Macaca mulatta: one gene and its partners. The protein of the gene in region 1 purifies or fractionates together with the protein of each later gene. This does not show direct contact. Links are inferred from orthologs where the notes say so. Each region holds a gene or a part of one and is shown in the gene's direction. Other genes may lie near its edges. The genes, in order: EIF2AK2, DHX30 and ADAR.

Region 1 (3,747 bases):
GGGATGGAGAAGGGAGGCTGGAGTAGATGGCTGCCTAGGTATAATGTTCTTTTTTTTTTTTTTTTTGAGATGGAGTCTCACTCTGTAGCCCAGGCTGGAGTGCAGTGGCACGATCTCAGCTCACTGCAACCTCTGCCTCCCAGGTTCAAACAATTCTCCCTGCCTCAGCCTCCGGAGTAGCTGGGATTACGGGTGCCCGCCACCACGCCTGGCTAATTTTTGTGTATTTTAGTAGAGATGGGGTTTTGCCATGTTGGCCAGGCTGGTCTTGAACTCCTGACCTTAGGTGATCTGCCCCCCCTCGGTCTCCCAAATTTCTGGGATTACAGGCATGAGCCACTGCACCGGCCTAGGCATAATATTTAAAGTATATTTGAGGTCTGTCTTGGGACCACCTCCCTCTCTTATCCCAGCTAAGATATTGAGAGTACAGACTCCTGGTTATAGTTCTAACTCCGCTGCTTACTAGTTGTGTTAATCTAACTCCTCTGTGCCTCAATACTCATTAGTCACTGTGCCAATGACTGTGGAACTCTGTGTGACTCTGGGAGTGTGTCACAGTCCATCAGGTGAGTAGAATTTCTATAAATCGAGGACTACTGGTGTTGGACTATAGTAGGAAACTCCCTGGGGTACTGTAGGGAGCAGGTGGCTCTCTTTAACAGCAGGACTGGCCCGCAGGTGCTTTTACAGCGGCTGACAAGTGTCTGCTCATGAGTGAATGGATGGGTGGGAGCAGAGTGAAGGAGATTACGCCCCCAGGCCTCGCATCCCCAGCCTTGTAAAAGTGAGGGGGCAGTGGTGTGGCAAGTGGGGAGGGGCGCTTTGGTGTTTACAGGCCTGGACTTTAACTGAATCCTGGCTTTCCCACTTACGAGCCGCTGGACCCCTAGGTAAGTTCATTTACTCAATTTCCTCTATTGTAAAATGGAGCTGCTAAGACCCATCTTCCCAACCCCTCTCCAAATATTTGTGTTTAGAGTAAGTGGAACCCTTGATTCCAGAACCTAATGCAGCCAAAGCCACCTGCTCCAGGAGCCCCGGGGCGGGGAGGGGGAGGCGGTTGGGGGTGCGGGGTCCTGGCCGCGCAGGGGCTGCACATGGGTGACAAGCCCGCCCGCCAGTGCCGGCCGCCGGCGCCTCTCGCGCGCACTCTGGATCCAGTGCCAATTTACCCCAATCCCGTAGCAGACGAGGGCTTGTGCGAGAGGGGGCCGGGCGGCTGCAGGGAAGGCGGAGTCCGAGGGGAAAACGAAACTGAGAGTCAGCTCTCCCGAAGCTGCGGATCTCTGGCCGGCGGCGGCGGCGGCGGCGCAGGTGAGCGGGGCCGGGGGCAGCCGAGGGAGCGCAGGGAGCAGGGGCCGGGGGGCCACGGGATAGGGGCTGCGGGCCCAGCCGGGGCGGGACCCGCCGATCCTGCGTCCCCAGCTCAGGACGCGGAAGCTGATCCGAAGCCCCTGGCCCCGGCTGGGTCAGCAATGGGAGAGCAGTCCGAGGCCCACAGCCCGGGTGTGGGGCCCTCCCTGAATCCAGGGAAAGGATCGTGGAGCGGGATGGGGACTGAAAGCCATTTTCTTCCCGCGAAGAATTTTTATCAGTGCAAGTAACAAATAAATAGTAACAAATAACAAATAAACAATAAACAAATAAATAAATAGTAACAAATAAATAGGCAGCGGTTGTGGGGCTGGGTCTAGTGGATGATGAATAGGCCTAGTGGCTTGACATATGGAAAATACGGAGGCCTGAAATACTCATAGACTGGCTGAACAATCTCTGGCTAAAAATCTCTTGCATGGAGAGTTGCAGTAGTTTCCCAATTGCCTGGCCTCGGTTCCTGTTCCCACTCCGTCTCCTTACCCCCGAACCTCCACCCCCTACCTCTTCTACACACCTCAGCAACTGGAATGTTCCTTTAAGTAAGAACCAGACTCTGCCCTGCTCAGACCTTCCCCATAGCTTTCCTGTCTCGTCAGAATCCTATAAACATTTATTAAGGCTCACCGGCAAGGTCCCTTGCACCCCCTACTCCGCCCATGCTAGCTTCCTTGCTGTTCCTGGCGCACAGCCAAGCATCCTCCAGCCTCTAGGCCTTTACACTGGCCTGTTTCTTCTTCCTGGAAAGCTTCTCCCTCAGATACTTGCATGGGGAAACCCCTCCCTTATCCTACACTGCTTCCCATGCCAGCTTATCAGAGCAGACTTCCTCAAACAACCTGCATATGCAAGAAACCCCACTCTGCCCTTGCTGTTCCCCCTTCCACTACCTCAATTTTCAACATAGTAGTTACCACCTGGTGATATCTTTTCTTTTCTTTTTTCTTTTCTTTTCTTTTTTTTTTCTTTCTTTTTCTTTTCTTTTTTTTTTTTTTGAGACAGATTCTCACTCTGTTGCCAGGCTGGAGTGCAGTGGTGCGATCTTGGCTCACTGCAACCTCCGCCTCCCGGGTTCAAGCGATTCTCTTGCCTCAGCCTCCCGAGTAGCTGGGATTACAGGTGCCCACCACCACAGCCAGCTAATTTTTTAATTTTTAGTAGCAACGGGGTTTCACCATATTGGCCAGGCTGGTCTCAAACTCCTGACCTTGTGATCCCCCACCTCAGCCTCCCAAAATGCTGGGATTATAGGCATGAGGCACTGCGCCCGGCCACCCGGTGACATTTTCTTATGGGTTGTTCCTCCACTGGTAATTTCACAATTACCTATAGCAGGGTTCACTAGTATAGTCCCAGCACCTAGTACATAATAGGTGCTGATTAAATGTTTGCTAAATGAATGGTAATTCAAAAACTCCCTTTTGAATTCCAAAATAATGAGGCGTCCTGTTGCCCATGTTTCCTTCTTTCCTTCCTTCCTTCCCTCCCTCCCTCCTTTCTTTTCTTTTTCCTCTTCTCTTCCTTCCTTGTTTCCTTGTTTCCCTCTCTCTCTCTCCCTTCTTTGTTCTTTTCTTTCTCCTTTCAAGATGGAGTCTCACTCTGTCGCCCAGGCTGGAGTATAGTAGCTTGATCTCGGCTCACTGCAACTTCTGCCTCCAGGGTTCCAGTGATTCTCCTGCCTCAGCCTCCTGAGTAGCTGGGATTACAGGCACACACTACCACACCAAGCTGATTTTTATATTTTTAGTATATTTCATCATGTTGGCCAGGCTGGTCTCGAACTCCTGATGTCAGGTGATCCACCTGCCTCGGCCTCCCAAAGTGCTGGGATTACAGGCATGAGGATTACATGGTCCCATGTTTTCTTTAGTACTAAAAATGCCATGCCAGATGGAAGGTAAAAGACAGGCTCTCTGATGTCACTTGGAAATTTAGAATCTTGGGCAGATTATGCTATTGTTTTTCAGTTTGTTTATTTGAACCTGGAGATCCTGAATACTTGACCTGTAGTTTGTTTGTTTGTTTGTTTGTTTATTTATTTTAGATGGAGTCTTGCTCTGTTGCCCAGGCTGGAGTGCAGTGGTGCAGTCTCAGCTCACTGCAACTCTGCCTCCAGGGTTCAAGTGATTCTCCTACCTCAGCCACCTGGGTAGCTGGGATTACAGGCATGCACCACCATGCCCAGCTAATTTTTGTATTTTTAGTAGAGACGGGGTTTCCCCATGTTGGCCAGGTGACCCACCCACCTCGGCCTCCCAAAGTGCTGGGATTACAGATGTGAGCCACCGCCCCCCACCGTTTATTCATTTATTAATCAGATGCTAGTTGAAGGAATGATCTATGTGAAGCAATGTGCTGGCCCTGGAGGGG
Region 2 (3,747 bases), on another chromosome or scaffold:
CATAGGAGGCAGAAGAGGAATGAACCTGGCTAAGATCCAGGCAGAATATTTTGGAAATGAAATCCTATTTGGCTTTCCAGCAAGTGAGGACCAGTACTTTTTTTTTTTTTTTTGAGACAGAGTCTCACTCTGTTGCCCAGGCTGGAGTGCAGTGGCGTGATCACTGCAAGCTCCACCTCCCAGGTTCACACCATTCTCCTGCCTCAGCCTCCTGAGTAGCTGGGACTACAGGTGCCCGCCACTATGCCTGGCTAATTTTTTTAAATTTTTAATAGAGATGGGGTTTCATCGTGTTAGCCAGGATGGTCTCAATCTCCTGACCTCGTGATCCTCCTACCTCGGCCTCCCAAAGTGCTGGGATTACAGGTGTGAGCCACCGTGTTTGGCCTTTTTTTTTTTTTTTGAGACAGAGTTTCACTTTTGTTGCCCAGGCTGGAGTGCAATGGCTTGCTCTTGGCTCACTACAACCTCCACCTTCCGGGTTCAAGCAGTTCTCCTGCCTCAGCCTCCCGAGTAGCCTGGACTACAGGCATGCGCCACCATGCCCAGCTAATTTTGTATTTTTAGTAGAGATGGAGTTTCACCATGTTGGTCAGGCTGGTATCGATCTCCTGATCTCATGATCTGCCCACCTCCGTCTCCCAAAGTGCTGGGATTACAGGCGTGAGCCACTGCGCCTGGTGAGGAACAGTACTTTGACTGCTGGACTTTACGCTGGACCAACTCAATTCTTGGCAGTGTCCAAAATTGGGTATTTTTGCCTTCCCCTCCAGCTCTGGGGATTAAATGTTTCTGCTTATGTTGAAGAGGTCTTCCTTGGCCTGGCTCCAGATCTTCTTTTTCATTTTTTAAACTTTTAATAGAGTTGGGGTTTCTTTTTATTTTATTTTATTTTATTTTATTTTTTTTGAGACGGAGTCTCGCTCTGTCGCCCAGGCTGGAGTGCAGTGGCCGGATCTCAGCTCACTGCAAGCTCCGCCTCCCGGGTTTACGCCATTCTCCTGCCTCAGCCTCCCGAGTAGCTGGGACTACGGGCGCCCGCCACCTCGCCCAGCTAGTTTTTTGTATTTTTTAGTAGAGACGGGGTTTCACCATGTTAGCCAGGATGGTCTCGATCTCCTGACCTCGTGATCCGCCCGTCTCGGCCTCCCAAAGTGCTGGGATTACAGGCTTGAGCCACCGCGCCCGGCCGAGTTGGGGTTTCACTATGCTGCCCAGGCTGGTCAAAATCCTGGGCTCAAGGGATCCACCCGCCTCAATCTCCCAAAGGGTTGGGATTACAGGCGTGAGCCACCACACCCGGCCCTGGCTCCAGATCTTTACCAGGTTTACTTTGTAAGCCATTAAATAAGATGGGGCTGCCAATTTACCAGAGGCACGTGAGCGGTAGTTAGGAACAATTGCTAGGACCTAGAGGGAACTAACTGAAACTTCCTTAGATGACATTGAGCTAAGGATTAGCATTATTTCCCCCCCAAAAGCCCCATTCCATCTTCCTGCCTCCCATCCACATGACAGCTGGTTTGGATTTGCTGGAGAGTGAGCTTGGCAGGGTCCTAGCCCTGGGCCGCGCCGAGCCGCCTACTGAAGGCCCGGGGCTGTGGTGAGCGAGGGCGGGCTGCCGATGCCCTCGCCTGGGCTCGGGCCTCGGGTCCGCCCGGCCCGCAGGGGGCGCGCGGCGCTCGGACCGGCCGCTCCAGTTCTCTTCGCCCGGTCCCTGCCGCGCGTAGGCCGCGGGGTCGGCGGGAACACGATGGCGGCTGCCAGGAGACTCATGGCGCTGGCCGCCGGCGTCTCTCCGCGCCTGCGGCCGCTGGGTCCCCGCGCTGCCGGGCGACAGGGTCGCTCGCGCTGCTTCTCATCAGGCTGCGCCCACCCCGACCGCACCAAGGAGGCCGCCGAGGCCGAGTCAGGGATGGCCCCCGGCGGGCCTGGGGAAGGCGACGGAAGCATGGTGAACGGTGAGGGCATCGGCGGGGGCGGGCGGTCCGCAGAGCCCTTGACTCCTGGGATGGCAGAGCAAGGGACGCGGGCCGAAATCGGGCCTGGCGGCGGGGGGTCCTGTCTTCCATAGTGGCCAAGTTCGCCATCCGTCGGCGCGCAGCGGCCCTGCTCTTTGTAAAGCTTAGCGTGGCACAGGCCCGAATGGACCCTTCGAGTGCCTGCTCCCAGCAAGAATAGGTGAGAGGTTCGAGACCTCGAGGGAGTGGGGAAAACGAGTAAAGTCCAACTCCTGCCAGGATGAGTGGCCAAGGGCTAGAGCTTCTAGGGACAAGCATGCCCTCACCAGTGTGAGAAATAGCCCAAAATAACTCCTGGGACATCAGGATCTCAAATAGAGACAGAACGACCGCTCTGGTGGATTCCAGCTTTGTGCCTCCCAAATAGTGCAGAGAATAAAACTGTTGAAAGCATCAAGGATAGGTAGAGAGTGCCAGCCTTCACCAACCTTATAGAGCTGAAGTGGGCGTGGGGGGGTGGGGGGTCTCAGTGCAGCTCTCTTGTTAAACCAGTGGGTGTAGTGGGCTACTCAAAGTTGGGCCCCTCTGTGACCAACCCCCCCATCCCCGCCCCGCCCAAATCCACTTACATGTGGTTTCTTAACTGCTTGACTCTTAGTTGCTTTACAAGTTACCGCTTAGAGGGAGACAGGATCAGGTGTCCTCCATCCTGGCCACTTGACACAGGAGTCTGTCCCAAGGAAATAATCTCAAACCAGGCAGCAGAGTTACATCAGAATGCTTGGAGGCACTTTTTCAAAATGTAGAGCCGCCTCCAACATCGCTCCCATTCTCTGGTCCCCTGTGGGGAGCTGGATGCCCATGCAGTGAAAAAGCTCCCCAGGTGATCAGTGTACACCCAGGTGCACATGTGCATATCTACATCTCCTTTTGGAGCTGCCTGAGGCTACAGTGGAGAATGATATGGTCCCCCCATATTCCTAGCAGACCTCTTCATGACCTGGTTAAGCCTTGTGTCTGGTACAAGCTTACTCCAGGTAGATATCTCTTCCCTTTCTGCTCTGGGATTAATCCAAAAAACAAGTGAAAAGAAGCAAGGTACCTCTGATGGTATCTGATGCATCAATTTTCCCCTTGACTCCAGAGAACTTGGGGGAGGAATAGTTCATGCCTGCTCAGATATAGAGGTTTTCTTTTTTCTTTTTTTGAGATGGAGTTTCACTCTTGTTGCCCAGGCTGGAGTGCAGTGGCGTGATCTTGCCTCACCACAACCTCTGCCTCCCGGGTTCAAGCGATTCTCTTGCTTCAGCCTCCCAAGTAGCTGGGACTACAGGTGCCTGCCACCAGGCCTGGCTAATTTTTTTTTATTTTTAGTAGAGACAAGGTTTCACGAGGTTTCACTATGTTGGCCAGGCTGCTGGTCTCGAACTCCCGACCTCGTGATCCGTGTGCCTTGGCCTCCCAAAGTGTTGGGATTACAGGTGTGAGCCACTGCGCCCAGCCAGATGTAGAGGTCTTTAATCAGTCCCCCCACATAGTTTGGTTCTGTGGGAGCCTTTTGCAGTGTGCTTAGATATGGTTGAGAGCTGGGGCCTGGTATTCAGCATCTGGATCTCATCACTTGAGATACATGGGGCCAGGTCTCTCTTGTGTGTGTCTTATTTTAGGAAGAGCCTTGCATTGTCTTGATCTCCAGTTTGTGTGTGTGGTGGATTTTTGTTTTTGTATTTTTTGCTTGCTTGTTTGTTTAGTGTCTTCTTTCAGACATCAGACTAGGGGGGGTTAT
Region 3 (3,647 bases), on another chromosome or scaffold:
ACAGACTACCTGTTTTTATAAATAAAACTTCATGGTAAATGAACTGTAAATAAAGGTTTGGTTATTGTGTGAGGCTGTTTTTGCGCTACAGTGGCAGAGCTATCTGGCCCTTTATAGAAAAAGTTTGTCAGCCACTGTAAAAGAGTTGCAGGATTTGAGGTCTTGGTGTGATGGCCTAGGTTACAGTCATAGTGAGATTGAAGGAGTAGCTAGACAAGCCAATTGTGTGGCAGAAAGGTAGAGATGGAGATTACTGGGTTAAGGATCCCTGTAGCCAGGGCACCGTGAGAGTGATTGACAAGAATGCTAAAATCCCCTAAGTGTGTCAGGATGTGGAAGAGTAGAAGGCTAGAGTTATGCAAGAAAGGGTCCCAGCTCTACCTGTGCAGCCTTCAGGAGAGTCTGAGGAGGGGGTGGTGAGTGTGAGCAAATGTTGCCAGAATCTCTTCTCCCAGTCTGCAAGCCCCAGGGACAGGAAGCAAGGTATTTACTGACACCCCCAGGCTTGTAAGTACTTCTTGGCTCCATCACCCTCCAATGAACAGCCCTGGGGAGAAGACAGTACTGGTTTGCAGGTGGGTGGGTGGGGAAAGGGGTCACAGGTGCTCGGTGTTGTGGTAAATGTGCAGATGAGAACATGGAGTTGCTTATGCCCTGTCCGTCAGGGTTCAGAAGAACATGCGGTGGAAGCAGCTATGGGGAGGTAGCTAGGGAAGGAGGGCTGGTCTGAGGTGGTGAGGAGCAGATGCTGCCAGCTCCACACATCCAGGAGAGCCTGGGTGGTTTGGGCAAAAGTCTCTGGCATCCCTTCTGAGCCTGGGTACCACACTGAAGAGTGAGGACAGTGTGCCATTTTTATCAGGAAACCCTCCAGCTCCCTGAAAATGGAATTCTGATCCTCCCGGGATGGCAGTGGAGAGCCACAGAGATGACTCTCAGGTCCCGTGGCCTTTTCCCACCTGGAGGTTGTTTTTGTTACTGCACTGTTACAGCCTTGGAGGACTGGGGTTCAGTTTGATCCAATCAGATTTATTCTTTTGTCATAGTCATCCAAATGATAGATCTTAGAGACAGGTGGGCGGAGGTGCACTAGCTGTGCGCTAGTGAGCCCAACTCAAGGAGAGGTCATCTCGTCCCTTCCCTAGTCCCCTCTCCCTTGGTTATTTCATGTGATTGTACTGGTTATTTCAGGTTTCTGTTTTTGTTTTCAAAACAAAATAACATTTGTTTGTTGTTCTAATTTTAAAAGGGTAATTGTTTTGACTAGAAAATTTCCTTCTCAACTCCCTTAAATTCCATCAAAGGGAAAAGTAAGTTAGGTTGCTGGAGAGGCTATGCTGAGGCCTCAGAACCTCTGTGCTCCTGGAAGCTCTGCGGGCTTTGCTTCCTGCCCCCCTCTCCGTCTTCCTGTTGGCAGGCCCCTAGGCAGGTTTTAGGAGGTAGGCAAGTCACCCTAGCTGAGTCATAAGCCCATGGCTCAATTGCCTTCTCAGCCCATCAAGGGCTGTTCCACAGGCAGCAAAGGGAGGGGCCTCCACAGGTTCACCACTGCAGCCCTAATTCATTTTCTTTTCTGCTGTCTTATTCTGCAGGGGTATTCCCTCAACGGATACTACCCCCATCCATTTCAAGGCTATGAGCACAGAAAGCTCAGATACCAGCAGCCTGGGCCAGGATCTTCCCCCAATAGTTTCCTGCTTAAGCAAATAGAGTTTCTCAAGGGGCAGATCCCAGAAGCGCCGGTGATTGGAAAGCAGACACCATCACTGCCACCTTCCCTCCCAGGACTCCAGCCAAGGTTTCCAGTACTACCTGCCTCTAGTACCAGAGGCAGGCAAGTGGATATCAGGGGTGTCCCCAGGTGCGTGCATCTCGGAAGTCAGGGGCTCCAGAGAGGGTTCCAGCATCCTTCACCACGTGGCAGGATTCCGCCACGGAGAGGTGTTGATTGCCTTTCCTCACAATTCCAGGAACTGAGTATCAACCAAGATCAGGAACAAAGGATCTTAAAGTTCTTGGAAGAGCTTGGGGAAGGGAAGGCCACTACAGCACATGATCTGTCTTGGAAACTGGGGGCTCCAAAGAAAGAAATCAATCGAGTTTTATACTCCCTGGCAAAGAAGGGCAAGCTACAGAAAGAGGCAGGAACACCCCCTTTGTGGAAAATCGCGGTCTCCACTCAGGCTTGGAACCAGCACAGCAGAGTGGTAAGACCAGACGGTCATAGCCAAGGAGCCCCAAACTCAGACCCAAATTTGGAACCTGAAGACAGAAACTCCACATCTGTCTCAGAAGATCTTGAGCCTTTTATCTCAGTCTCAGCTCAGGCTTGGAACCAGCACAGCGGAGTGGTAAGACCAGACGGTCATAGCCAAGGAGCCCCAAACTCAGAGTCGAGTTTGGAACCTGAAGACAGAAACTCCACATCTGCCTTGGAAGATCCTCTTGAGTTTTTTGACATGGCTGAGATCAAGGAGAAAATCTGCGACTATCTCTTCAATGTGTCTGACTCCTCTGCCCTGAATTTGGCTAAAAATATTGGCCTCACCAAGGCCCGAGATATAAATGCCGTGCTAATTGACATGGAAAGGCAGGGGGATGTCTATAGACAAGGGACAACCCCTCCCATATGGCATTTGACAGACAAGAAGCGAGAGAGGATGCAAATCAAGAGAAATACGAACAGTGTTCCTGAAACCGCTCCAGCTGCAATCCCTGAGACCAAAAGAAACACAGAGTTCCTCACCTGTAATATACCCACATCAAATGCCTCAAATAACATAGTAACCACCGAAAAAGTGGAGAATGGGCAGGAACCTGTCATAAAGTTAGAAAACAGTCAGGAGGCAAGACCAGAACCAGTAAGACTGAAACCACCTGTTCATAACAATGGCCCCTCAAAAGCAGGGTATGTTGACTTTGAAAATGGCCAGTGGGCCACAGATGACATCCCAGATGACTTGAATAGTATCCGCGCAGCACCAGGTGAGTTTCGAGCCATCATGGAGATGCCCTCCTTCTACAGTCATGGCTTGCCACGGTGTTCACCCTACAAGAAACTGACAGAGTGCCAGCTGAAGAACCCCATCAGCGGGCTGTTAGAATATGCCCAGTTCGCTAGTCAAACCTGTGAGTTCAACATGATAGAGCAGAGTGGACCACCCCATGAACCTCGGTAAGAGACCACCCAGGACTGTACCTAGGGTTGGGGTCAGGTGCTCTTGCTCCTGACGCAGTCTTGGCTAGTTTGTGAGCAGTGCCATTTGGTGGCTCCTATCTTTTCCTCCTTCCCTTCTGCCTTTTAGCTAAATCCCCCTTGATTGGCCCTTTCTGCAGATGTTGAGCAGGGAATATAGACCTTGGACCAGCCAGAATCTTGGCTGAACAAGGGGGAGGTTGACTCTGTTGACTGTAATGAAGCTTCTTCAGAAATGATTGGTTTTGGCCGTATGCGGTGGCTCATGCCTGTAATCCCAGCACTTTGGGAGGCCGAAGCAGGCATATCACGACGTCAGGAGTTTGAGACCAACCTGGCCAACATGGTGATACCCTGTCTCTACTAAAAATACAAAAATTAGCCAGGCGTGGTGGCACGTGCCTGTAGTCCTAGCTACTCAGGAGTCTGAGATAGGAGAATCACTTGAACC

Evidence for each region.
Region 2: the proteins of EIF2AK2 (region 1) and DHX30 purify together in Homo sapiens (affinity purification with mass spectrometry; 3 studies listed by BioGRID and IntAct, with this or other methods). This does not show direct contact. The link is inferred for Macaca mulatta from reciprocal best matches to the Homo sapiens genes EIF2AK2 and DHX30.
Region 3: the proteins of EIF2AK2 (region 1) and ADAR purify together in Homo sapiens (affinity purification with mass spectrometry; 3 studies listed by BioGRID and IntAct, with this or other methods). This does not show direct contact. The link is inferred for Macaca mulatta from reciprocal best matches to the Homo sapiens genes EIF2AK2 and ADAR.

What each region holds. Positions count from the first base shown.
Region 1 is NC_133418.1:87,783,399-87,787,145, forward strand, and holds the start of EIF2AK2 (interferon-induced, double-stranded RNA-activated protein kinase), read left to right. Parts: upstream 1-1,256; 5' UTR 1,257-1,317; intron 1,318-3,747.
Region 2 is NC_133407.1:111,200,933-111,204,679, forward strand, and holds the start of DHX30 (ATP-dependent RNA helicase DHX30), read left to right. Parts: upstream 1-1,437; 5' UTR 1,438-1,624; coding exon 1,625-1,961; exon of another isoform or gene 1,962-2,181; intron 2,182-3,747.
Region 3 is NC_133406.1:112,398,965-112,402,611, forward strand, and holds part of ADAR (double-stranded RNA-specific adenosine deaminase), read left to right. Parts: intron 1-1,592; coding exon 1,593-3,175; intron 3,176-3,647. UniProt on the Homo sapiens protein: Catalyzes the hydrolytic deamination of adenosine to inosine in double-stranded RNA (dsRNA) referred to as A-to-I RNA editing.